Linked DNA regions of Yarrowia lipolytica. The protein of the gene in region 1 interacts with the protein of each later gene in a pairwise test. Links are inferred from orthologs where the notes say so. Each region holds a gene or a part of one and is shown in the gene's direction. Other genes may lie near its edges.

What was found. The genes of interacting proteins can lie anywhere in the genome.
Region 2: the proteins of YALI1_F15403g (region 1) and YALI1_E04349g interact in a protein complementation assay, tested with the Saccharomyces cerevisiae proteins (2 studies listed by BioGRID). The link is inferred for Yarrowia lipolytica from reciprocal best matches to the Saccharomyces cerevisiae genes GPI18 and EMC5.

Annotation. Positions count from the first base shown.
Region 1 is NC_090775.1:1,537,945-1,543,923, reverse strand, and holds YALI1_F15403g (uncharacterized protein), read left to right. Parts: upstream 1-3,537; coding exon 3,538-4,611; downstream 4,612-5,979. Other genes in the region: YALI1_F15449g (uncharacterized protein), read left to right, coding at 1-612; YALI1_F15418g (uncharacterized protein), read right to left, coding at 1,322-2,122; YALI1_F15387g (uncharacterized protein), read right to left, coding at 4,731-4,942, 5,015-5,177; YALI1_F15377g (uncharacterized protein), read right to left, coding at 5,898-5,979. UniProt on the Saccharomyces cerevisiae protein: Mannosyltransferase involved in glycosylphosphatidylinositol-anchor biosynthesis. Responsible for the transfer of the second mannose to the glycosylphosphatidylinositol during GPI precursor assembly.
Region 2 is NC_090774.1:431,628-437,144, forward strand, and holds YALI1_E04349g (uncharacterized protein), read left to right. Parts: upstream 1-3,344; coding exon 3,345-3,470; intron 3,471-3,620; coding exon 3,621-3,845; downstream 3,846-5,517. Other genes in the region: YALI1_E04312g (uncharacterized protein), read left to right, coding at 1-76; YALI1_E04341g (uncharacterized protein), read right to left, coding at 233-2,515; YALI1_E04359g (uncharacterized protein), read left to right, coding at 4,286-5,517. UniProt on the Saccharomyces cerevisiae protein: Part of the endoplasmic reticulum membrane protein complex (EMC) that enables the energy-independent insertion into endoplasmic reticulum membranes of newly synthesized membrane proteins.

The DNA of each region.
Region 1 (5,979 bases):
GAGGCTCTGTACCGCGATGTGTGCAGAGACCAGGATATGCAAGACGAAGGGACCGGTGGAGGCGATGTGAGTATGGAGCCTCCTTCCGATGAGGGACTCAAGTCGCTAGCGTCATACCTTTCTCCAGACATTACCATCAGGCACCAGATCCGCGGTCTGATTCTGTCGGGCGACATTGACGGCGCCATGGCTCTGGTGGAGGAGCATTACCCGACCGTGTTTGAGTCTCAGGATATGGTGCTGTTCCAACTCAAGTGCCGTAAGTTTGTGGAGCTGCTGCAGGCCAACGAGGTGATTGAGGCTGTGGAGTATGGCCGGGAACTCAAGATGGAGTACGCCAACGACCCCCGCCCACAGGTGCAGGATTTGTTGCGTCACGCCTTTTCGCTGATTGCCTACGATTCCGATCAGGTGAACGAGGAGCTCGACACAGTCAAGTCACGGGAGGAGCTATGGGAGCAGCTGTCGTCGGCCATTCTGGTTGCCCATGGACGGTCGCCCGTGGCGCCTCTCAAGCGCATTGTTCAGCATACGCGGCAGATGATCAAGGTGTTGGGGGAGAGTGGAAATGACACTGCGAGTTTCTTGAACGTGACGAGGGATTTTATGTAGCGACGATGATGTCGTGGAGGGCGGGGATGGAGGGCCTTGAACTGTCTTGCTACAAGGTGGGGTGGTTTCCCGGAAGTGTCTCACCCAGTCACTGGAACCATGGTACGTTTCGTTTCCGAACTCGCAGCAGGTGATTGTGGAGGAGCATTTTTATACGTAATGATTAATGTGGTTTGCTTGTGGCTGGAGAAAACAGCCATGAGGTAGGATGAAATTGTGGTCAAGCCGCTAGGCAACATTTCAGAGATAAAGGGCACGTGGATGACGATGCTACTCCTGGTAAACTCGACAGGTTCTTCTGCTGGCTACTTGTAGAACAGAAGATCAGAACCAGAACTGGCAGTATCGACTTGGTGAGCAACGGGTTGATCTCTCGACTTACTAATCAATCAGAGTGGTCCGTGGCTGTATATCCATCATATTGTTCTCCGATATCGTCAAGTTGCCCGCAACGGTATCTTCTAGTGGAGGACCTACACTTACTTTCTATAGTCGTGTTGAACAAGGAAAATGTATCTGATGGTTGTTTGGGCTACGCGATTCATCCTTGAGCATCCACCAGTTGGTTGAGGTTCGCTTGTTGGAGATTTTGCCTCTATGTCAATGTAATGAACTGTCTATAGTTGTATAGTTGTAGTTGTAGTTTTAGACATGCGTGCCAATTGGGCTCTGTGGTGTCAGGGGGCCCTTCTCACTGCTGTCCAGCCAGTTAGTTGGCCTCCTCGCACACCTTCTTCACCTTGGGGTAGATGTAGTCCGATAGCTGGGGGGGTCCGTCGGGAGTGATGATTCTGTACTGGAAGTTCTCCTCATAGGTGTCAGGGTTGATCTTGCCCTCGTAATCCACCACAATCATGCCCATGGTGTCCTGGACGTCGGGAACTCGAGCCTGCATGGGGGGGTTTCTGTTGTCAAACACGGGGATGTAAAGGGTTCCGCCGGGGGCAGAGCCCTTCTTTTGCTTCTGGGGAGGCAAAATAGAAAAGACCTGGCCCGCAGCAAAGTCCTTGACCTGGGGGTCCTTGTAGGCGTCCTTTTTGAGCACCTCGTTGAGCACCTTGAGGAAGTCGGAGTTGCCTTTGTCGAACACTCGGGGGTCGCAGTACAGGTTAGAGAGACAATCGGCGTCGGTGACGGAGTCCTGGCCGTACAGGGTCTGGAACTCCTTGAGCGAGTAGATTCGGGTCTCCTTGTGGGTGTGATCTTCATCGGCGTCCGGTCGATAGATGGTGTGTCTTAGAGGCGATTCTTTGGGGTCTAGAAGCGTCTTCTTGATGGGAGAGATGGACGTGGAGGCGCAAAAGACGGCCAGAGGGTCCGGGGAAAGCGACACGGTGGCGGTGATAGAGTCCACGTCTCGAAGATGCTTGAACTTTTGTCGGAACTTATCCGTGGTGTCTTTGTCGAGCAGATGGACGTGGTAGCGGGGGTTGGCGGTGCCCACGGTGATCTGGCGGATCTGGACCGACGGAAATCGGGCGGTTTTCAGCGATTGAAGCGTTCGGAACATGGTTGATGGACTTGTGTATGTGTTGAAGTTACTTGGATGGTGCTGATGATGAGTCGTCAATTGCTGTGCAGGAGTCTGCAGATTGCTTATGCGGGGAGATGGGCGAGATTTGGGGCGGTGATTGTGGAGGAATTGGGGGAAATTGCGGTTGGGGGAGGCTGTGGCGGTATTCTGGGAGGCGGTTTGAATCGATTTTTCCACTTTTTGCGTGGTTTCAAACACCGTGGCGGCTCTTAGAGACACTCTTGTAGCCTCATATTCATGTGATTTGTGGTGCCTGAGTGCTTGCGAGTTTAAATTATTGTGCAAAAAAGGCAGGACAGAAAAAAGTGATTTTGATCGGGGAACAGACGGAGATAAATGACAATCGAACCGGTATTTCGGTGTTTTATTTTGTCAGATTGGAGAGATGGGCCCGGGTTGGATATTGATGTTTGGTATTTGTGGATTGTCTTGTCTTGTCTTGGTTGCTGGTTCAGAGGGTATGTTTAAAAGAATTTAAAATAAAAATAAAAATAAAAACAAAAATAAAAATAAATTAAAATATAATATAAATAAAATAATAAAAAAAAAAATAAAAATATAAATATAAATATAAATATAAATATAAATATAAATATAAATATAAATATAAATTATAAATTATAAATAAATTATAAATTAATAAATAAACATAAATATAAATATAAATATATAAATGCCCTCTCTCCATGCTAGATTACATAAGCTCTCTCTGGGTGGTCAGTACCAATGGGGGTTTATTCAATTGTCATCCTACCACCAGTATTTGATATTCAAATCTGTCTAATTTAGTTAAGTATTCCTAACCTATAGTTAACATTTGGTTAGAAAGATAACATCCAAATGAGAGTCGGTTGAAACGTGTTCAGAAACATACAGACACTCATAGACGATAGTCGAGGGCTGTGTGACAATTTTCCGACCCATTTCAAGCTATATATCGACGGTTTTTGTCTCACAATGGCTTTGTCCAGAACTCGCCAAAAAAAACACGTGTTTCTGTATAAGACCACTATAAGAAGGACTGATATCGGCACATCCAAGTCCCTCAGCACTCCAAAACTAATCTCAATGGATTTCTTCACTCTTGGCGAGTTCAAAGATACCAACATCTCAACCACTTCCCATACAAAAATCCCCACCTCCGACTCTGTTCCTCCCACCTCTCAGCTCAGCTCAGTGCATAGCATCCACATTCAGACACTGCTCCAAAACCCGCCACGGAAATCGCATCGAGAATCCAAAACAACCATCGTATTTGTCCAATCCTCACAAACACACTCATCTCATCCATTCTCTTCACAGACAAAAACTCCCCCCATTTCACCTGCCCAACATGCCCCGATGCATCTTACTCTCAACTCTGAACCTTGTCAGACTCCTCGACACAACTAATGAAACATTTCACAACGCTCATTGTGGTGTTTGTGGCCATCAAGGCATACTTGGTAGCGCTTGCGCTCGTGGTCCCCCGGCAATATGACACCTCTTCGACCTTGCTGTTCCCCAACAACCGTTTTCTGTCGCGTTTGGTCATCTGGGACTCTGTGTTTTTTGTGTCCAGCGCAGAGCGATCCCATCTGTACGAACACGAATGGGCCTTCAGCTGGATGTGGTCCCGTGCTCTGGGACTCGCCGGATCACGTGACGCCATTGCCTACACGGCGATCGCCGTCTCGTCGCTGAGTCATCTTCTGGCGGCCCTCATGCTCAGAAAACTCACCGAGTCCGTTTTCCACAACAAGCGGTTTGCCGAAACCACCGCGCTCATGTACATCTTGTCGCCGGCGGGCATTTTTCTGGTGGCGGGATATACCGAGTCGTTGTTTGCGCTTCTGTCGTTCACAGGTTTGTACTTGAGACAGCGGGGCCAGTACCCGTTGGCAGGAGCAGTTTTGGGAGCGTCCTGCTTACTAAGAGGCAACGGTCTGCTGTGGGGAATCCCCTTTCTGTTTGATCTGGCCTCTGCCATCAAGCACAACCAGTTCAACAGGGGAGTTTCTGTTGTTATTGGCGGGTCTCTGGTTGGAGCGGTCTTTCTGTACACCCAGTACCTGCCCTGGTCCATCTTCTGTCCCGAGCGCGACGAATGGTGCAACTACTACATTCCTAGCATCTACGGCTATGTTCAGCAGCGGTACTGGAACGTTGGTTTCCTGAGATACTGGACGGCCAACAACATTCCCAACTTTCTGTTTGCCGCCCCAGTGCTCTATCTCATGTACCAGTCCATGTCGACCAACCCGTCGCTGGTTCCTTTCTACACGGTGCATGCCATCATGGGTTTGGCGTGTGTCTTCATGTGGCATGTTCAGATCATCACCCGTATCTCCACCTGTCTGCCGACCCTGTACTGGTACATGGCCAAGCTGGCTCAGGGGTACAATGGGCACTATGTGGTGCGCTACATTTTCGTCTGGATCACCTTTCAGGTGGTCATGTGGGGTGCTTATTTGCCGCCTGCGTAGGAACCTGAGGGTAGGGAAGGAGCGCAAGCGATGTTGCCGTCCCTGATAGCCAGCTGAGCGGCCGTCGTCATTGGGGAATGTGATTCTCGGCTGTCTACAGCAGCAGCATCATGGTCGGTCTATGCATGGATAGATCGACTGAGACATGGAAGGTATGGTTCAATGTCAAGGGTGGGCTTGGGACAGAAGCAGTGACAGATGGAAGTTACTGAGTCTGAGTCTGCGACGGAGGGGGGTGGTGAAGTCCGAGTCTGAGACGGTGGAGCCTTATCTTTGAGATTAGAAGGATGGACTAGAATAAAATAAGCAATCGACACTAGAGCATGACGAACTGGCGGCACGAGCACAAGGACACTACGCGTACAAGGACACTACGAGCACAAGTGTCGAGCTCGGACGCTACTAGTACAATTACCAGTACCGGCACTCGTACCGGTAGTCTCAGCACTAGCCTCTGTGGCGCACCTGAAACCTGAGTCAATCAATAACCACCAATAACCAATAACCACCATCCACCATCCACCAATAACTACTAACCACCTCCTGGAAGATCTCCGATCGTGCATCTTTTCTTTGTCGGGTGCTTCCGATATGAATGGGGGGCTGTCCTCGTATTGTATACGATGCAAGTACCGTACTGGTTGCACATTCCATTGGCAGATTGGACAACAGATCAGCAAGTCTGTTATAGGAAGTTTTCAGGGGTTAAAGGGGGTGCTAGCTCCCGTACATACATATCAGCGCTCTTGATAACGACACCAATCCGAGCATTGTTATCACCCGAACAAAGAGCGTACACCAACATGCCAACCCGATTATCTCTTTTCCCAATTCATTCTCGGTTCTTTCGCCGATATCTCGGTTTTCGCCCGTCTTTCTCGGGTTTTTTCCTTCTCTCGCTCTCTCTCGGTCTCGCTCAGTCATAACCACCTCTACCAAACCTTAGCCACCTTCGCCACAGTGGCTGAAGAATCCGATTGGCTGGGCTGAGCCACGTGAAAAAGCTAGCCACTTAGGGTACGGGTTTTGCCGCTTGGGGAAGCGCCGTAGCAAGTCGTGGCCGGAAAATGCCGCAAGCTCCATTCCACCTGACAGGGGCCCCGCGAGCGGCCCAGCATCCCAGAATCCCCCCAAGCACGACATGGACTACCAAGTCGCCACAAAGCCACGATTAAAATTATATAACTGCCAGGCACATCTGCACCAAAGGGCCATTGGTACCGTTTTGTGATTTCTCCTCACACAACTACATTGATACTATCCAAACTGTGGCTTTTTTAGACTTTCTAAAATTGCTCTCTTTCGGCGGGACTCTGCATAACCAACGCACTGCAGTCTGTCTTTAAGGTTTGGCTGCACCACACTACC
Region 2 (5,517 bases), on another chromosome or scaffold:
CAACTTCTTCAACATCACCTCCCAGGTTGCTCTCATTGCCTCTGCTATCTTCACCTCTTTCAAGGCCATTGTTTAGTGATACAGGACGGCTTATGTAATGAATATATGAATGCGATTGACAAGACAGCAATTACAATTTCAATACGAGTATAGTTCGAATGATATAAACACAGTTAACAGTACGAATGACACTTTCGGTAGAATGACACACCCCTATTTACAATAAATACTATTAGTTCTCGTTCAACAGCCACTCAAGCGTAATGAGTGCGTTCTTGGTTCGCTCGGCAACATCCAAAGATGGATCACGCAGTTGCGCATCCAACTTCTCCTTGTAGCCCAGTTTGACAAGAGCACGAGCTCGTCGCTTAGCGCCCTCACGACACTCACGGTCGTTGTTATTGTCCACGTAGGTCAGGTTGATGACCAACCACGCACATGCAGCACGCACATCGTAATGTCGATGGCCAGTGAACTCGGCAACCTTGACAAGAATAGACTCCTGCTCAATCAACATGAATCGGAACTCCTCGGGGCCCGCAGCAATATGGGCCAGAGTGTAAATGATGGCACTGAGCATGCGTGTGTATACCTGGCGCTTCTCATTGACAGTCTTGGCAAGCTTGATCTGTGAAGACGAGTGAGTGGCTGTGTTCTCGGCCACAGTCTCGGTATGCTGGCGAGATATGATATCAATCTTGTTCTCAAGGAGCTGCATGAACTCACGAGCCTCCACCTGGGAAAAGAAGACCTCAACAAAGTTGGCCTGTTTCATCATCAGGTTCCGTATCAACTCGTGGGCCTGCTCCTGGACTTCGATATCAGTATCACCGAGCAAGGTCAGCAGACGTTTGCAAGTCAACAGTCCCATTGCCTCCTCAATAAGTCTGTCGTCGTTGTCAGGCGGCAGCACTGCGTGTCTCAAAGCCCAGGTGGAGTTGAGTCGCAGAGGAGTATAGTCGGAGTTGACACCAGCGATAATCGATTGCAATACACCTCGTTCAAAAATGTTCTTCTTAAAGGGCGAAAAGGGAAGAATGAGGTTGCACATGGACGCCATGATGGCAGCCTTGACCTCCAGATCTTCAATGTTAGGAGACTCTCCGTCCTCTGTTTGATCCATGTTATCAGGCTCTGCGTTCACTGGTTCCGAGGGAGTCTCGTCCAGAAGCTCGATGATACCTTCTACAACCTCTTCGTCAACAAATCCAGTTCGCAGCAACGATACACTTCGAGAAAGAGCTCGAACAAGGTAACATGACGAAATTTTCATCTTTCGCACCGCTCGAGCTCGAGGGTCTCCAGATGGAGGTGTCTTCATTCGCATAATCTTGATGACATGCGACAAGACCCCACAGTCGACAATTCGAGCTCTGAAGGAGTCCTTATGCATTCCAATAGCTGCCACTAGAAGAAGAGCATCAGCAATGACTTCTTCCAGCTGGTTGCAGTGGTTAGAGGGCTCGACTTCAGGTACCCTGGAAGTCACCAGAGTGCATGCCAGTTCGATGACACGGGCCTCAGCAGCCAAGGTTGCCATATCTATATGGTCTCGACAGAGGAGGGCTAGAGTCTTGCACACTCGGGGGTCGGTGTCTTCTGGACCGGACAGCATGGGCACTAGAACAGGTAATAGAGGCCGGGCAATCTCGAGCTGTTGTGATGCTGGCATATGCAGATGCAGGTTAGAAAACAGGAAGCAGACAGCCAGTCGCACTTGGGTGTCTCCTGCTCGTAGTAGCAAGAAGAGGTCTTGTAGGAGACGTCCGGAGCTCCAGTTGGTGCCCGCAGTCCCCACCTCTCCCTCCAGCAGTTTCATTGCTAAGCTGTGGCGAACCACATGGCTCAGTGCAAAAACTGCTGACGCCAGGGGTTCTGTGTAGATAGAGGGGATTCGATCTCTTTGGGAAAGATACTGTTGGGTGAGTAAAAGGATACGAGCAGCAAGGGGTTCGCTGAGGTCTTCTCCTAGCCGTTGCACTCCAGGGCGAGAACGTCCCAGTAGCGGAACAAGAGGAGTGCATAGAGAGACGACGGGTAGGGGTGTTGAGGGCACAGAAATGTGGTGCGACAGGGCCTTGAGCAGCTGGGGCGAGTCTTCGATGCATTCGTTTGCCACCGTGTCGTTTACCTTGAGCAGAGCAGCCAGTGTTCGCAGCAGCGCGCTCATGTACTGCACCTTGTGACTGTCAGCCTCCACAATAGCAGTGACGATGACTCTGTGTATTCCGAGCCGCACAAATTCGTTCAGCACCAGCGGAGCACAGCCAGAGGTGAAGGAGGCGATGATCACCGCCGCCTGGGTGCGCAGCTCTTCGGACCAGGGTCCGTCCTGGAGCACCTGCACCAGAGAGACCACCACTCCGTCACATTCGAGGTAGCGGGTCTTCTTTTCGTCATGGCCGATAATTTCGTTTTTGAGGGCTTTGCAGGCTGCCAGCTGGGCGTCGGGTGACAGCTCTCTCAGGTTGCATATTTGTGCCACCAGCTCTTGGTCAGCGACAGGTAGAAACATGGCTGAGTTCGAACGATGCCTTTATGCGGTATGAGTAGATATGGTGGTGCGATGCAGCAACGAAATTAACCTAAAGTGGGGATGGGATGGGATGTTGGAGAGAGGGGGGTGGTACAGTATATGAGCCTCCTACGGGAATGCCAAACTGTATCAACCCGACAAGTGAAAAGAGAAAAGACTAATGTCCACAATTTTGTGCCTGCTGATAACTCCAAAACTCTCCTGTTGATATTATTTTCCTGTCGTCGTGTATCCTGGTCCATTGTGGTTGTTATGCTCCTTGCGACTTGTTACACAGTAGCAATGGTAGGGTGTACAGAACTCACACAGTGTGCGTAAGAGGTGATATCGTACAATACGGTACGGGTATGAGCACCGGTAGTACCTAGTATACTGTGTACGTACGTACAAGAATCGCACAAATACAGATACTTGTAACCCTGACAGTGTAACACAATTATTCGGTAGCTCTTGTCTATGTTGCAAACTTGACCGCTTTCTTTTCATTCCCCCAATATGAGACCAAGCGAACTACAGTACATACTGAAAAGCTGTTCAGACTCGCAGTCACATGATCTGACGTCTCTGATAATTCTGTGGGGGGTGCACGGGAAGAGAGCTGTATTTTGGGATAGATATAAAAGATGAAGGCTTTGCTATTTAATGAGTACACACAGTACATACTGTACGGTAGCTACTGTACTTGTACAATACTTTGTGGTGTGCCACTGCCATACCTCACTCACCTCTGCATGCATCGTCCTGTATGTACAGTAAGCAGGTGCATACAAAGTTCAGTCCACCAACATCACACCTAACGACTCTAAAAATGGCGGTCACCTCGATTGCCCTGTATACCCTGGCTGTGTTGCTCATTGCCCACAGCGGCTACTCGGCCTACGAGGCCTCCTACAATGCCAAGTTGATGGCCCAGAAAATAGCCGTTCCCATTGACGTGAGTTCATGAGACCAACGAACAGACGACACAACGACTAAAACGACTAAAGGAATCAACGAAGAGCGATTGAATGACTCAAGCGATTGAATTACCTAACGCCGATCGACTGTCCGACTTATTGCCCGTCTTTACCCCCAACTAACCCAGATCAAAATCGAAGCGCTTATTGGTGTCTTTCTGGCTTGTTTCACTCCGGTGCTCAGCATCGCCGGCACTCTGAAGCCCGTCAAGTTCGCCGATGCTGCTTCCGAACTTGAGCTCAAGGGTGAGAATCCCTTCCTGTATTTGGAGAAGCGGTCTGGTTTCCAGACATATTCGGGCATGATTGAGAACCTGCGAGTTCAGCATTTGGAGGGTCAGAAGACAAAATAGAATGGGAATCTGTGATAATATATTGATAATTGAATAATGATGGATGTACACGGCTTCTAGATAATCATTTAGTATGTTACGTTGCCGGATATTGGTTTTGAGAGATGATGTGTACGTAATCACTCGTGCATGGTCAGACTTTACTAACCATGGAAGCTTCTGCAACTGTAACATCGGAATTAATTAAGAATTGAAACAAGAAGGTGTAGTGATTACAATTTTGTAATATGAGTCAACAGTGGAATTCATAAATAATGCGACCGTACCGACGTATTTAATGGGTCACTAATTGCATCATACTTCTATACTGTTCTCCTTCTCTCCCACCTCTGATCCGGAACGCCTTCATGCTTGCACTAAGTTTCAAGTATCAGTGCAGTGCATAAAAAATTATTGAGTTGGGTAAACTTCAGATCTATCTTCATCACAACTACAACACAATGTCTGCTGTGAAACGAGCATCGAACCATTCGACGTTATCGCAGAAGGTGTTTGTGCGAACTTCCAAGGCCGGCAACGCCACCAAGGTCGTTCGAGAGCAATACCTTCGAGATGATATCCCCTGCTCGTCCCAGGGCTGTCAGTACTGCAAGAACAACCTGTATGTTGCTGACGCCACTGGAAAGCGACAAGAGCCCATTCTCGAGACCCAGCCTAACAAAACTACCAAGCGTGGCCCCCATTACCTCGTTGTCGACACAAACATTGTCCTGGACGGTATCGATCTGCTGGAAAGTGACAAGGGCTTCTATGATGTGATTGTGCCCCAGATTGTGCTGGAAGAAGTGCGAAACCGATCGCTGCCTATCTATGCGCGACTGCGAGCCCTCACCAAGAACGACGACAAGCGGTTCTACGTCTTTCATAACGAATACTGCAAGGACACTGCTGTTGGTCGAAACAAGGGAGAGTCCATCAACGACCGAAACGACAGAGCCATCAGAAAGGTGTGCGAATTTTACACCCAACATCTTGGTAAGGACTACAACGGGACCGCGCCCGAGGTGGTTCTGCTTTCCAATGATGTCAACAACCGAAAATTGGCAAAGGAGGAGGGAATCACTGCCCTCGGTCTCAAGGGATACGTTTCCGAGCTTGTGGACCCCGGCCAGCTCATCGATATGATCCCTCAGCGAGCTCTTGAGGAGGAGGAGGGAGCCAAGCCCAAGAGCGGCAAGTCCGAGGCGCTTTACCCTGAATACTACCCCATGTCTCGACTTCTAGGAGGAATCAAGAACGGCACTCTTTTCCAGGGAAACCTCACCATATCCCCTTACAATGTTCTCGAGGGTTCCGTTTCCACAAAGGCGTACCCAAAGCCTCTCTTGATTCTTGGCCGACAGTCTCTCAACCGTGCATTCTCTGGTGACCAGGTTGTCGTGGAGCTTCTTCCAAAGGACAAGTGGAAAACTCCCTCCACGAGTGTGATTGAGAGTGAAGATCTTGCTGCCAATGAGGGCGGTGAGGAGAGTGGAGACACCGTCATGAGCGAGTCTGAGCGGAAACTGCTGGCTGACGATGCCCTCAAGGCCCACAAGAACGAGGCCGATGCTGCTGAGCGAGTCCAGCCTACCGCTCGAGTTGTCGGTATCATAAAGCGATCTTGGAGATACTACGTTGGTCACATTGCTCCTGGCTCAATCATTGATGACGTCTCTCGAGGCCCTCGATC